Linked DNA regions of Drosophila melanogaster. The protein of the gene in region 2 interacts with the protein of the main gene of each other region in a pairwise test. Each region holds a gene or a part of one and is shown on either strand. Other genes may lie near its edges.

Region 1 (7,973 bases), on a different chromosome or scaffold from region 2:
GAAGGAAATAGTTACAAAATAATAATTTACCCGCGGAAACGCTCTTTCAACAGTAAATTTCCAATGCTAAAGTTTATATTGTCCGGACAATAAGAAACTTAGCCAGAATTAAAAGTAGTTGGCGCACCACAAGCCGAATCCAAAGGATATCCTCTTCACCAACATACAAGGCACAGTCTTGACTTTTCTTCTTCCCAAGAACAAAGTCCGGCGCTCCTAGAATCGCAGCTCGTTTCTAACTATCCTCTCGTATACGGATGGGGTGAGTGGAGCATACACGCCATCCGGTTGGGCGTAGAAGAGTTCATCGTCGATGATCTCCGGATTGAAGCCCTGCTGCTGAAGCTCCACCTTGCGCAACTTGAAGGTGCCCGTCAGGTCGATTTTGCGCAGGAATCTGAGAAACTGCGGCCTGGCGTAGTTGGGCAGGGATTTGGCCAGTTCCACGCCCAGCTGGCTGACGTTGACCTCCCGAGTGGGATCGTAGATGGCTGCCATTCCTGCTCTGCCCTCAGTGTTGGGTATGCTTACGCCGTACACAATCACATCCTTGTAGCCAGCCAGATTACTCAACTGCGCCTCCACCTCGCTGGTGGAGACATTCTCACCCTTCCAGCGGAAAGTGTCGCCGGTCCGATCTTTGAAGTACAGATAGCCCCGCTCATCGGCCACCAGCAGATCGCCCGAGATGAAGGCCATGTCGCCCTTGGAGAAGACATCGTGGACCACCTTCTTGGAGGAGGCCTTCTGGTCAACGTAGCCGAGGAACTCACGGCAGGGATTACCCCGCACAATCTTTCCAACGAAGACGCCTGGCTCATCCGCCTCGCATCTCTCACACAGTCCTTGGCTGTTCCTCAAAGGCTCTCCCGTATGTGGATCTGCTTTTATGATCGATATTGGGTAGATCTGCGGCAGTATGCGGGATATGAATCCAATGGCGCCCACTGTGCTGTCATTGTTCATGATGTTGGCATTGCCCTCAGTGGCTCCGTAGAACTCGCCCACTTTTCGAATCCCGAAGCGCTCCACGAACTGCGGCCAAATCTGTGGACGCAGTCCATTTCCGAACACCATTCGCACTTGGTGGTTCCGATCGTGAGGAGCCGATGGCGTGGCCAGGATGTAGCGCGCCATCTCCCCAATGTACTGTCCCACCTGGCAGAAAAATAAGGCACATTAATACAACATATTGGATGATCCAATAGCCAGTTACCGTGCATTGGAAGCGGGCGCAGTCTGAAAAGTAACCGGAGGCGCTGAATTTCTTCCTTATGACCACGGTGGAGCCGAAGAGTAAGGCCTGGCCCATGCTCATCACTCCGCCAGCGGTGTGATATAGGGGCAAGGGAGTATAGAACACATCCTGATCCTTGAAGCCAAGCGTGTAGTGAATGCCGGCAGCTATGAAAAAGTACCTGAAAGTAGAGGAATCGTTGTAAAGGAGAAACTTACTGCAGCCAGTGGCAAATCTTACCGAGAATGCGTGATGACGGCTGCCTTGGGCAAGCCCGTGGTGCCCGACGTGTAGATGTAGACCAACTTGTCGTGATGATCCGCCCGAGAAGCGCCGGCGGCCACCTTATCCTTGGCCGCCGTCTCCAGAAGGCCGTTCAACTGCTGGGCCAGTCCCTGGCTAAGGCCCTCGGAAGCCACCACCTCCTGGTTGGACTCGTCGTTGAACTGATACAGTCCGACGTGGGCGGGCAGATCCTTGGCGATATCCATCACGGCCGACCGGAAACTGGCGCCGTAAATGAGCGCCGTGCACTGGCCCACGGTAATGCTGTGCTGCAGTGAGGCTCCACGGAGGTTTGTGTTAATCAGCGGCGTGATCACGCCGATCTTGGAGAGACCAAGCCAGGTGGCTACAAATTCGGCGCGATTCTCGAGCAGCAGACCCACCACGTCGCCCTTTTTGTAGCCGTGACTGTGGAACACGTTGGCCACCCGGTTCGAATGCTCGTTCACCTGGCGGAAGGTCCACTGCTGGGACTCACTGACAATGGCCAGTTTATCCGGCTGCCGGGCCACATTTGACTCAAAGATGTCTCCGATGTTCAGGTTCTTGCGCTCCTGGCGCTTAATGAAGAGCAGCACACGGATGTAGGCAAAGAGGGCTCTAAGGAATACAGTTTTAAAAAAACTCTGGAACTAACTTCCCAATCCTTGTTACTTACACAGTATCCCTGGGTGTGGTAACAGCTGCAATGTAGAACCAGCGCCATCCTGGACGCACCAGCAGTATGGATATCAATGCGGCATATAGCGTGGCCACTCCATACCAAGGCCCTTGGTAGTAGAGGATCAGACCGGAAATGGCGGTCAGGACAGGTGCTAGGATCCACTGAAGATAACGGCGGAAGTTGGATTTGGCAGGTGGTTTCAGGTTTTCCGGTTCGTTCATGGAAATGGAGACCTACAAAGTCACAATTTTAGTAAAGATGCATGTGTTTAGATTGCCAACTGCGAGAAGGAGAACAACGACTGCATCACTCATACGCCGCGTAAGCCCACATAGGCGATACGGGTCTTAGATAGCAAATAGAATAACCCCCCGGGTCTGACACCTCCAGATGAAGTTGATTCAAAGCTTTTCCTGATCTTCAGCTAATTGCTTGTTGTTTAATTTGCACTCTAGCCACCGTAGTTCCATAACCCAACCCGCATCAATCAATTAGCACTTTATTTAAGCAATTTGCAAACAAACAAACCAAAACAGTGAAAAGCAAACACACAGAAAATATATAGAGTGGTATGTGGACAAACAACAACATCTAGTGGCCAAAGCGGTGACCATTCCGGCCGGATGAAAGTTCTCGGAAGTGCATCAAGGCCTTCTTTTCGGCATCGGAGGCCAATCGGTTCGACAATCTGACCAGAACGCAGATGGTCAGCGCCGAGATGAGTCCCAGCATAAAGAACACAACCTAATTATGTGGTGCAATAGATATATTGTATAGTACGTTCTATGATCTCTCTGTGTGTGTCCGTGGTCTTCAGATTACCTTGTGCCAAATGGTCAGTCGATACTGGTTGGCTTTCGGACCGCCCTCCTCCACCAACGGACTATCGTCGGTGCCCGTCATCATGGTATTCAAATCTCAAGCTCAACTCTTTTGACCCTTGGCGCTTCAATGGTTCGGCTGTCTGCCTGTTTGTTTATGGGTTTTGTCTATTTTTTGTTAAACTGACAGTTGGTTCGCAGAAGTAATGTAACATTGAATTTGAACATGATCAGATTTCATTTCATTTAGTTCTGTGACGAAACTTCGTTAATACGACCTTAGGTTTTATTAAATGATCTTTTGCACTTAAAACTATTGATGATGTGCACCACAAGAAAAACATACTTAGCTTAAAATCAGATCTTTTAACCTGTTTCCCCACTTCAAAAGCAATTTATTTCCATAACCTCCATTGAAAACCATTCGAAGTCACCCTGATCTTGACTTTCAAATAGTTTCTGACCAACTCCGCCGAAAGACTTACTTTAGGCTGCACTAGTCTTTTATATAAAACCTGATTATGAGCTCTATCCGCACAGATGACCGATCGCATAATATTCGAGACCCAGACCTAGTCCCGGTTAAATCGGCGGACCAAAAGTAAACTGGTTTCGGTTTTCAGCGGTTTTTGTCGATGTTTGTTTTTGATGGCAACGTGAGTATTATTTTGTCGTCAGATAAGGTTTAGTTTGGCAGCGAGGGGAGCGACGGGACAGGGCCGGGGGATCCACCCATGGAACAACAAAGCGAATCAAGCGCGAAACCCCAAAAAAAATGTACATATGTTGACCACGCTCGTGCGAGTAGGTGAGCATAGTCGTGTGTTATTTACCTGTGGGGGGTTCAAGGCCGTCGAACTTGGGGCGGGCGCAGCTCCACTATTATCAGCCGCATCAGCACCACCTGTAGTGGCCCCAGCACCACCATCAACCACGCCAGCGGTGCACATTTTGATTGATTTCGGACTTAACAGCACATCTACAGAGGCTGCAATCTGATGTTAAGCTTGGTTTGGTCTTCAATTACTGCGCTGCTCAGGTGGCTTTTATTGAGATTTCTGGGCGGTTGCACAAAGAAAAAAGACATTTAAGAATTAATTGAATGTTGTACACTTTTATGGATAGTACAACATAAAAAAGGTATAGCGGGAAACCTATAAATGAGCTCGGTTAATTTATGCTACTTTAGTATGAGACCTATAAAATAGTATCTATACGAAAGTACTTTTAAAAACACTTAGAAAAACTAATTATATGTTAATAATATATATTAATGAGAACCATGGATCTTTAATTCGTTAGCTCACTATCGTAATATGCTTTATTTACATGTTTAAATAAAAATATTCTACATATATATGCTTCGATATAAAATACATATACATTTCACTAAATTGCTTAGCTGTTAACTGGGGGCTACAGTGCTCTAGTTTTTCTCAGTGCACTTTCGCAGCGAAATGATGGGTAATTAGGCGACATGCAGCACTCGGAAGGGGCAGGCAACAGACAAACAGATAGCAAACAAAAAGAGAAAAGGCGAAAAAGCTGAGAAAAAGCCGTGGTAACGATGTGGGGAATTCGCAATTGTAGTGCACAGGTGACACCAGTAGAAATGATGGAGAAAAATTGCCTTTTTTGACGCGGCCTGAATGATGCTGCGACGTTTTTGAGTTCAGCTTTTCAGCTATTCAGCGATCGTGGTCTCAAGGTGAGTTTTGGGGTCTGATGCGGTTGTTTATGCGCGACGAATGGCAAAAGCCAAGTTGAGCGGTGCTACAGGTGGCCCATAAAGGCCCATAAAGGTTAATGTATGGTAAACTCAGTTAATGGAAGAGGCAATTAAAGTGAGTTTTGCGTTCAGGAAGTTAGTCTCGGCTTGGAGGATAGATTTAAATGGGAAATGGGCATTTGTTTACTTGAAATAAGTAGTTGAAGTAAATAAAGAATTCAAGAATTTATATAACTTAACAAGCATATAACAAGTACAAAGCTGTTCTCCAATGTTAAACGAAGTGCATGAATAATAAAAATCCAAAAGATACAGTTTAGCTAATTGACTTCAATAGAAACCCTTTTAAGCTAATGGCTCTTGTGTCAAAAAATTAATCATTAAAATATGTTTAGCCCATTTCCCTTTCGGCTTGTTCGCTAATTTGCCAATGCATAAACATGGCTTTTACTCAGCCTGCGGCTAGTTTAAAACTTAAGTTTCAGTCCTCGTGTTGCAAATTATTTTTTACAACATTTTGCCCATGCAAACATTTAGTGTAGCTACTTCATCACTGTGGTTTTTTTTGTTTTTTTTGTTTTAGTTTTTGTGGCACACATATAGGCAAACACATAAGATCGGCAGAGATCATTAAGAGATGCGGATGTTGGCGACGCTTCATCACTTTCACTGAAATCTTCTTCTCCTTTCTTTTGTTAAATTGCTTTGCCTTTTGTGGGTCCCCACATCTCAAGCTCGGAACATTCAGAGGATGGGGATTAAGAGATTCGAGATGAGATGTGGGATGCGATCAAATTGCGGCTGAAATTGCTGTTCACTCTATTAACTTGATGGATATATTGCACGCACAACCAGAATCGAAACAATCTTGCTCTCGAAGGTCGTTTTTGAGGTATAGCGACTGCATTTAAAAAACTTGTTGGATTCCGAGCTTTTAGGAAATATCTTATCACTCTCTGTAGTAAGTAAGGGTGATCAAAAATCACTAAAATATAATTATACTTATGAAGCACTTGGATAAAATTATTTTCAATAAAGGTGGAGTCCTTAATATAGAAATTTACACTATCCATGTTTCACTGTTTCGTAGATCTTTCCTATCGTTTAATTATTAAACTTTCTCGGATGTTTTTAACCGATATTTCTATAGAATTTTACTTGATGTTTTTTGCAGTTTGGTGCGAGTTTAAGTCGAAGTTTAAGCCGGCGACGTCTTTCGGCCAACAGCTTCGTTCAGCAACTGGGCCCAAAAAGCTAACTGCCTCTGGATCCGTTGTTGCCGGAGCTCTGCCGCCGCCGACGTCGACGTCGGTGGCAACAGGTCGCCGTCGCGAACACAGATACACACTGGCACACTGGCAAAAGCCAAGCTTCGGGTCGAAGCTCTGCTGCTGAGCCAAGTTAACAAGGTGCTGGCGCTGTTCTTGTTGTTGGTGGCCGGCTGAAATTGTCGGTTGCAATTCTGCTGTGTTTGCACGTGATTATGCCGCATGCAACATGTGTATTGTTTCAATTGCCGTGCCTCTTAAGCGAGTTTCCTTTGTGGCCATTAACATGTCAACAACCACAGAGCGTCAAGAATGTGGCCATAATGGAGTGGTGGGGGGCTGCAAAGGGGGGTGGGCGGCTGCAGTGGGCGGGGGCGCAGGGGAAGGTCGCGCGGAATGGAGCGCACATTTAATTCAAAACACGTGTCTCGTATTCGTACTCTCTTTGTGGCTGTTGCCCTCGACTTCTGCTTTGCGATTCTTTCCCTCGCCTTTCTTTCTATGCATAAGTGCACTGGGAGAAATACCCTGGGAGTTTACCCTTCACATGCATTGTTGTTAACCCAATTAGGTTGTTTCAAGCCTCTTGCCGGACTAAAGTAAAGCTTAGTTAAGCCTATTCTATTGCACCAATTAAAACATCATTAAACTGATAATATCAACCATTTGTGGGCTTGTAATTTGAAATGTATTTTTCGCGTGTATCTACAAAGTACATATGTATGTACATGTATCTTTGTACGCGCAATCGATGCGTTACCCCTATGCCAACTCCTGCCCCCTCCCGCCACAAAACTCCGAGGCAAGTGCAACGCAACCGTTTATTAAATATAATTTTGCATGCTCATTTCTTTGGCTCCGATCGGTAGCCATGACTGGGCTTAATTGTTATAAACAGTCTGTGGGACTGGGCGAGATAGATCCGCTGTGCTATAGCTAAGCAGTTTTGCTCGGATCATTGCAACTGGGTCAATTGTGGGTTGCCCAATACTTTTGGGTTTGCAGCTGAATGACAGCTCAAAATACTTGCAAGGCACTTTTATTCGCTTAGAGCTACATTTATATCTAATACAACAAGCTTTCATATCGTCTAATCATATTACAATAAAGCTGAACCCACTTAACGAGATTATCGTTGTAGTTTAAATAGCGCTAATAATACGGGTATACGAACTCAAAGCTCTACTAAGGCTGTAATTGTACGAACTTCGACCTAATGAGTAACAATTGAATCACGAGAAGTATAGCAATATCCAGAATCGCTAAATATATTAGTAAATTATAAGCTTAAAAGCAAATGAGAAAAATTTCCTTTAAAAGAATAGGCTGGACCAAAATTAAGCACTATACATTCATAGCTCTATGTCCTTTACAAACTTGCCTTGTCCTTCGTCGGAACCGAAATTTCATAGCCCATTCGGCTACCTGTGAGCCATAATTCATATCTGTCAACAGAAAGTTTCGAATGGCATTACATGGCTGTGGGAGCCCTAACAATTTTTATAGTTCCCGCCAATCAACAGCTCGTAGATACGCCAAGATATACCAATAGCACAAGGCTCCAAAGATATGCCCGACATTCGATGGTCTTTTTCACACGTTTCCCAGCAGACATAAAGTGTCTGTGCAAAAAAAGGCAGCCGCACATTTGTGCAGTTTATATATATATATATATACTTTGCATTTTTTTTTATATATATAGCCTGGAATATATTTTACCCTTCGGGGGCTTGCCCTTCGCCCTTCGCCCTCCGCTCTTCCCTCTGCGCAGTTCGGTACTTGAGAAGGGAACTTCTGCCTGCGCTTGTGGATTTTGTCAAGTGGATTTCTGTCGAGTCTTTGAGATCATTAAAACAACATCGTTAGGGCGTCCATAATGAAGTACTAAAGAGGAACCCAAGAAGCAATCCCTCGACGACCAAAAAAGAAGCAAGTTCCCGAAATGAAGAATTCAATTTCAAGGCGATAT
Region 2 (7,822 bases):
GCAGTTAAGAGTTGCAAAAAAAAATGTATATGTAAAGTAACTTGGAGGCCGCTTAGTTATCCCGGATGCCCGTTCCGTAGTTGGCGCCGCCGGCACGGTTCAGTGCTTCACGGAAGAGCTCAATGTCCAGCTCGGCCTCCACTCCCGCCTGAAGTTCCACGGCAAAATTCTGCAAGAGATTAGAGATGAGAGGATCTATTTCTGCCTCTGGGCTCTGGCATCTCTAGCTATTGGCTACTCACGTTGAGGACATCCTTGATCAGCGCCTTGTCCGTGGACATCTTGGCCCTCTGGATGACGCCCACCTCCTGCCCGATCCACGTCAGGAAGATGAACTTTTTGCGCTTGGACATCTCGTCACCCATCTGGATGCGTATGTAGCCAAAGGCGCGCTCCGAGTCGCCGAACTGCTGTCGGAATTCCTCAAAGCACTGACCGCGCGCATGTACAATAATCTGGGCGCCATCGAACTTGAATACCGCCCACTCGGTGTCTGTCAGATCGGAGCGTACATCCTCGTAGGCCTCGCGAATCGAGTCCTTCTCCAGCGACGTGGCCAGCGGCATCTGCGAAAGAGCAAGGGGGAAGAGGATTATAAGCAAGCGAAGAGGGGAACTATAAGCAACTTTCAGACGGAAGTATATATCTTAATCATGTATTCCAAGTCCGAATCGTTTCGCCAAGGCGAATGGATCATCCGCTTTGGCCCATCGATAGCGAAATGTATTGTATGTACTCAATGCGGGGCCAAGTACTCTTGACGGCGCCATCTATGAGTCAGATTTAAGCGGTGCTTTCGCTTTCGATGGTTATATTACATTCAATTCGACTTGTTTCCGTGTCAGGCAACCTCAAGTCGGCCAGGGGAATAGGCACGCCATTGCATCGCCCACTTGCATTACGTTCGGGCAGATTCACGGAAAGCAATTTGTTGCCGCTTTAGTGCTTTATAAACATAATACCAGCGGGCCAGCGGAAAAGTAGCCAATGTAAATATGTACATATTTCGAAGAAAAAATAAAGGCTTTATTATGATAACATACTGGAACATACCCGCATATTAAATTACAGCATTTTTGATAATGATATCAGCACACACATATGAGGGTTCAGGGTTCTGGTTCAAAGCCCAAAAATATGATGATTTAAAAATATCGATATGTAAATGAATTTAAATTGCTTGATAAGTTCGAATGGCTTGATAGTGAAATGTAAAAAACCAAGTCTCAATACGATTTTGGTTAGCTAAAGATTAATTTTAATTGTGGTTTATTAAGTGATCTTTGGGGTAGCATTATGTGCACAAAGTTAGGCTCAGCTTAGATGCGTGGAAAGCGTGTAAAGCGATTGGATCGATGGTTTTTGATACGAGTATACTTGTAGTACGGATCGGAAAACTACCCTTTCACGTAGTGCACTCTTATTGTCTTAAGCGGATCGCCGCATTAAAATCAATTTACGCGTGACAATTTTCAATCAGCAGCCGGCGGAAAGCAGGTCAGAGATTTGATAAGTGACTTGGGGTCGTCGGAACGGGATGACAACAAACAAAGAGAGCCAAATGACTGTTGGTCCAACTGCCAGCCAAATGGATCGGGCTTGGAGTCAGGAACTAGACTCGCGTATAAATAGACATTGAAGCTGGGCCAGAGATACGGATACAGATACAGCTAAAGGTACAAATACAGATACAGATACAGATACCGATGGGAAGATGGAGATAGAGATCGCTCTATAATGCGTTCAATGACCGGAGAGTACGGCGTCTGGTGAGAAAAATCAATTAGAAAAGCGACGACTGTCGAAAATATCAAAAGCCAAACAATTAAACCCAAAGATGTTTCGGGCGACGACTTTCACAACGCGACGCAGTAAGAACTTGGAGTTTGTATGTGTATTCTATGCGTCGCATAGAACTATGGAACAGCTCTGAATCTCCCGTTTCGTGGCTCTGAATTAATTAGTCGGAAGGCAGGCAAAAAAAAAAAAAAAATGAACAAGATGCGGACGCAAACTGTGCCAAAAATGAGCGGACGACTAAGAAACCGTTGCAGCGAATGACCCACCGAAAATACCCGACAAATTTTCCCCCAAACAAGCAAGATAGCAGATACAAATGTATATAGAAATGTCGGTGCTCCTCCTGCAACCTCCACGGGTACGTGAGCCAAATTGTTGGCTAAAATTAGCTGAAATTAAGTTTCCAGCCGATAAGCCCGATAACGTTCGCACATATGTATCTATATACATATATATGCCTATATGGCCATATCTCCACTTCTGACACAATGACAACACGACAAATTAGATCACTCCAGTTGGGCTGGGAGTGCACCCAAAGATCGGATAGGATAGGCTCGGATAGCCCCACCTCCGGAATTGACGCAATGCCATCTATTTGCTCTGATAAGAAAACTGTCGCAAAACTAAAGGAACTGTAATTGATTTATTACCGAAAGTTCTTGGGATCGCCCGGGCAATTAGTGCCGGTTAAATCTGTAGGGCTCGCCTGTTCCAATTTTACACGCCATAAAAATTCAGCAGAGATTGACGCTTAGTCATAGGAATCGAGATATTGCGCTGGCTTCAGGAAATATATCGAAAAAAGGGAAACTACAATAGTTTCAAGGAAAGTCAGAGTGCGTCATCCTCGAAAGATTCGCATAGAAAAGCGAGCGACAGTAGCCAGTCCATAATTGATACGGTTAATCGTGATTCGTGATTCTCGATGGAAAACAGTGAGCAACAGTCTGATAAGTAACCTTGTAGCGATGACAGGAAATGTATATGCATACATATTTTCAGTTTCACTTGGAACCACCAATAATCCTAACAGATCCATTGAGTTAGCCACCTTTCCAGCAGGAAAGCCATCTGCCAAACAATTCGCGCTACTCAAATGGCTTGCGGCCATATCCGATAGATAGATGTACATATGTATTATATCTATCTATATATGTGGATTCGTACGTAATGAGCCATATATGCCCATGTGTGCATTCATACAGCACGCTGCATTGCCAGCTAGATATATGTAGCTATAGTATCTATAGCTATATCCATCGATATCTGGCAATGAGCGGGCCGGCGATGCATCAAACGCGGCTATAACTGCAGCTAAACGTAACCAAGCATAATACAGCAAATAACAATTTGCTAACGAAAACGAAACCGAATCCCCAGCGCCAGGTGCTTGAAACTGACTTGCTGCGTAACTCAACGCTGATACCCTTGTGAAAGGTATCGCAGTTGTAGAAATTCTTGGGATACCTTTAAAATAAACATCTATGAGAACGTATTGTATGTAAATAATCCTGTCCTTAAGTAAACAGCAAGCTATCGAGAACTACAGAGTGAATGGTATTATATCCGTATCTTTTATCATTCGATGCCTGGTATACACCACTGACATTATTTCAAGTTAACTCTGTTTGTATAGTTTATATATCTAATTGTATGGTATATATAGATCGTGAGCTCATAAAGCAAATACTGAAGTATGAACAATAAAAGTTAGAGTATTCACTTTCGATTGCACTAAACATTTTGTATTTTATTCGCTTTTTCATTGTGTATGTACAAGTGGACCGAAAGTGTTTTATGTTGACTAATGAATTTCAGATAAGAAACGAAAAAAATTCCAAATAATACGATCGGGCATGAATAAAGGAAAATAAAGGAGAGGCGATGCAGATATATATATGACATACATGCACAGTGAAAACACAATATGCGGAATATTCGTGGGTCGATGCAACTGACTCATTGGCAAGGCAATTGGAAAATAACCAATAAATTGCAGCGAATCGGTTATTAACCGCTTCGCCTTGGCCAGACTAAGTCCAAAAAAAAAAAAAAAATAAATAAAACAAGCAAAAAAAATAATTGGCAATGTTGTGACAAATTGCCAGTTGCCGCAGCGCAGTCGCAATGACGTACTTGCTCCGGGTCTGGGACCGCCGATATGTCAATGTTCTTTTTCCCCCACTTTACTTTACTTTATTTCATTTCATTTTATTTCTTATTTTTATTCCGCTGCCGTCGATGTTTCATTCGCCACGCACACTAGCACAAACAGTGCAGGAAACAAAGGAGCAAACTGTTTTGTGGCTGCTCACGCCCCAGACGCCCGGAGTCGGGGGATCTGGGATGCCGGATGGGGTTGTGGATGGTCATTCTGATGGGTACGGGGTATCGGTATGGGGTACGGGTTGCGGGTTGCGGGAAACGAGGTTCCGAGTGCGTGATTCATGCCGCCTGAAGGTGACGACGACGACGACGACTCGGGGAGTGGATGACCAAAATTGGCGCGTCAGGAAGCGATTCCCGAGCATTGAAAGGGTGTGGAATGGCCGATATCCCCATCGATTCCATACACTTTTATTACTCACTTGTTTGCCTGCACTTGGAAACCTCGAAATTGTAATATTTATTGGCCTGCACAATCGTTTTGTTTGATGCCATAGAGATTAGGTTGGCGAACAAGTGCTGTGCACCAAAAGTCACATGAAACGCAGATCTTGCGATCAGCTGAACGAAGTACCCGCAAGATAATGGCACTGCAACCATTTACCCAGCTCCCAGTGCCCGCTAAATACCGTAATCTGGAAAGCTATACGTGTTTGCCAGGGCGACGGACTGCGCCGCATTAACCGCAGCGTCTTCGTTGGGTATCGATGGTGTCTCGAGATCCCAGCGAGCAAGTGCAGCAGCGGCAGCCGCACTGCAAACGCACTTGAACTTGATATGCATCGCTGCGAAGGCGTCGCATTCGGATTCAGTTTTTGGGTTCGGATTCGGATTCGGAGTCGCCCCCACAATCTGCATCCGCCCCCGCAATCGCATCCAGCCAAGATGATATTGCCCCTCGGTACTCAGTCCCTGTTCCTGCCCTGCCCTGCCCCTTTCCGCCCAGCCAGCCAGAGCCATAAAACCCAGCTGCCACCCCGCCTCCTGGACCTCTGGCCCTCTGGGGCCGGTTCTTGTGGAGCGGAGTCGCCGGCGAGCCAATGTCAGAGTTATTTACAGACACTCACGCATGCCCAGCGATATACACACACGCCGCATGGGCCTGGGCTTCAGCAACTCCAGTGTGTACACCGGAAGAAAACTGTATTTTGTATCCTTAAAGCCAATGTCCGAGTTCAATACCACTGTTGGTAATTGAATTTTTATATTATTGTATATTTCTACTAATCCCCAATATTTTTCAATATATATTTGAACAATTTAAAGTTCGAAAATCGATCATTATTCTCAAGAGAATATTATTTTTTTTTAGCATTCTTTAATTGTAGGTATTTATAATGTAGTGGTGATTAGAACTTTCTTCCATTTTAAGGTTGTGCCATCGGATTGGCTCAGCCTTAAAAGTGATCAGCATACTGAGTACCCGTTTTCTTTCGGTGCATTTATAAGATATCTCTCCGGCCTGCTCTCTGACTCTCTGGACTTCTGGCTGCCCCATCCAATCTTTTATAATTCTTAATTTTCGGTCGTCCCCTGCCGGTATACACACACATTTCATGGTCCCTGCCCGGAGCAGGACTACCGACTCCATCCATCTCCAACTCCAACTCGAACTCCATGTGTGCCCAACCCACTCCCCACTACTCACCCTTCTCGGCTTGCTCTCCACCAATTGCTCGACCTCGATGCCGTCCGACATGCTGGTGCGCTGTGTTCTGGATGTGGATGTAGATATGGTTTTCAATGCGCAGCTGGGATGCTGGTGCTCTTGGGAACAGCTTCCTGGGATCGCGGGTGAGTCTCGAAGGGGAACGGAGTGCTGGTCTGGCGGGAAGAGTTGACCGTTTGCAAGGTGACAAAGTGGCAGAGTGGCAGAGTGGCACAATGACAACGAAAACAAAAATACACAGCGCCAGAAAAACAACAAAAAAACACAATCCAAGCGCACAAAGAGCGATGGACAGAACCAGCACAGTTCCAGATATCCAGATATTAGAGCAGCCGCTGAACTTCGTCCGACCACCACGAGTTGTATCTCACGAATGCGGCGTTGCCGGCGTCTGCAACTCCGAATGAAGTGCCGACCGTCGACCGCCGAAGTCGGCGGCGCAGTCGCCGTGCGTGCGAGCGAGATGCACTGGCCAGAAGGCCCCACGGCAGCTGTTAGACAAACAGCAGGTGCGACAGAGACGGCTGCGTGGGGAGCAAGCGAGAGCGGGCGAACTGCGACGATGTCGCCGCATTTGGCTTTATTTTCATTTTCATTTTCAGTGCAGGCATTTCGGAAACACCAAAAAAAGCCAGATGTTGGCTAGTGTTTTATGCGTACACCGCGAGAAAATTTAGTCTGCTAGATGCTCCTATAATGATAATGAAGTTTGCATAAATACTTCGTGTTAGCCATCTTAACTGGCAATGGCCACAGGAAACCATAACATCGTGCGCAAATATATGTATAGTCAGATGGATAGAAAAACAACGACTGTACTCCTCCATCTAAACTATGTACGTCCTTAAGGATCAGCTGAATCCCTTGAAGAAGATCTCTTCCTCGATGGTGAAGAGGCTTACGAGAAGTGAATTCTATCTATTCTATCAAAACATGAATTTATTGGATTTATTGGGTTTCTTCGGCAACACGGATTCCTGGCATAGTCATATCCAGTATCCCAGTGGAGTCACGTCTTACCACTGCAGCTCCCGGTCATGTTATTTTCCTTCATCGAGGGCTATTCCATTCACTTCCTGCGCCGAAAAAACGAGCAACAATTGCAAGCGAAAAGGTAGTCTTTGAAATAGATGCTATAGGTGCTAATCGGAATCGCTATATATCCAAAACTATGTCTAGATCAGCACTGATCCCTGCCAGCTTGTCGGCTGGGAATGCGATCCGTGGAATTAGCGCAGAACATTTGTGCAAACACATAACGAGCCGAGATTGTATTCTCTGGCACTCAAGTGCCGTAGGAATGCGGCTGATTTGATGATTAGCGCGGTGCGTGGGCCGAACAGCAGCTGCTCCGCCGCTGCAGACGCCATGGATGATGCAGTGCACCGTATTAATTTGTCCCAATCGGCAGGGAACGTCCTCCGCGCAACATGGGAGTTGCCCGGCAACAGGGCTGCCTGGCAGCATGCTGCTAGCCACAAGTTGCCGTGGTGAGTTTGCGCCATTCGGCATCGCCCACGCAACATGTTGCGGCAGCTAGCCCAGCGGAGCGGAGGCGTCGTCCTCGTCCGCCAGTCGTCAGTTGCCCACGACGCGTTACCCGCAACGGTAGCAGGCGAGCCCTCTCCTGGCAGCCAAAGCCGCCAGCTCGTGTGCTCGGATACCCCCGAGTTCCATATCGCAATCTTTGCCAGCCTGCGCGCAAGCGTCGCCGTTTCAATAGCAATTGAGTGAAATTTTATTTTATTTTTTTCGGTGACCCGCAACGGGACATGTCAGGCGGTGGTGGCCAGTGATTGCCACGAATCACCCGGTCATCCGGGATGTTCAACTACGAGGAGGGGGATGCCGACCAGGCGGCCATGGCTGCAGCGGCTGCCTATAGGGCACTGCTCGACTACTATGCCAATGCGCCAAGTGCGGCGGGTCACATAGTGTCGCTCAACGTGGCACCCTACAATGGAACTGGAAACGGAGGCACTGTCTCCTTGGCGGGCAATGCGACAAGCAGCTATGGCGATGATGATAGGGATGGCTATATGGACACCGAGCCCAGTGACCTGGTCACCGAACTGGCCTTCTCCCTGGGCACCAGTTCAAGTCCAAGTCCCAGTTCCACACCCGCTTCCAGCTCCAGTACTTCCACTGGCATGCCCGTCTGGCTGATACCCAGCTATAGCATGA

Evidence for each region. Proteins that work in one complex are often made in the same cells at the same time.
Region 1: the proteins of CG6891 (region 2) and Fatp2 interact in a two-hybrid assay, tested with the Drosophila melanogaster proteins (one large-scale study listed by BioGRID).

What each region holds. Positions count from the first base shown.
Region 1 is NT_033778.4:23,053,501-23,061,473, reverse strand, and holds the start of Fatp2 (fatty acid transport protein 2), read right to left. Parts: upstream 6,001-7,973; 5' UTR 5,895-6,000; exon of another isoform or gene 5,801-5,894; intron 4,066-5,800; 5' UTR 3,958-4,065; coding exon 3,841-3,957; intron 3,227-3,840; exon of another isoform or gene 3,093-3,226; coding exon of another isoform or gene 3,009-3,092; intron 2,931-3,008; coding exon of another isoform or gene 2,778-2,930; exon of another isoform or gene 2,681-2,777; intron 2,420-2,680; coding exon 2,181-2,419; intron 2,123-2,180; coding exon 1,478-2,122; intron 1,419-1,477; coding exon 1,217-1,418; intron 1,159-1,216; coding exon 217-1,158; 3' UTR 1-216. Other genes in the region: CG44253 (uncharacterized protein), read right to left, coding at 2,778-2,930, 3,009-3,092.
Region 2 is NC_004354.4:18,773,425-18,781,246, reverse strand, and holds the start of CG6891 (uncharacterized protein), read right to left. Parts: upstream 6,020-7,822; 5' UTR 5,669-6,019; coding exon 5,618-5,668; intron 4,750-5,617; exon of another isoform or gene 4,392-4,749; intron 1,615-4,391; exon of another isoform or gene 1,402-1,614; intron 567-1,401; coding exon 243-566; intron 170-242; coding exon 53-169; 3' UTR 1-52. Other genes in the region: CCKLR-17D3 (Cholecystokinin-like receptor at 17D3), read left to right, coding at 7,462-7,822.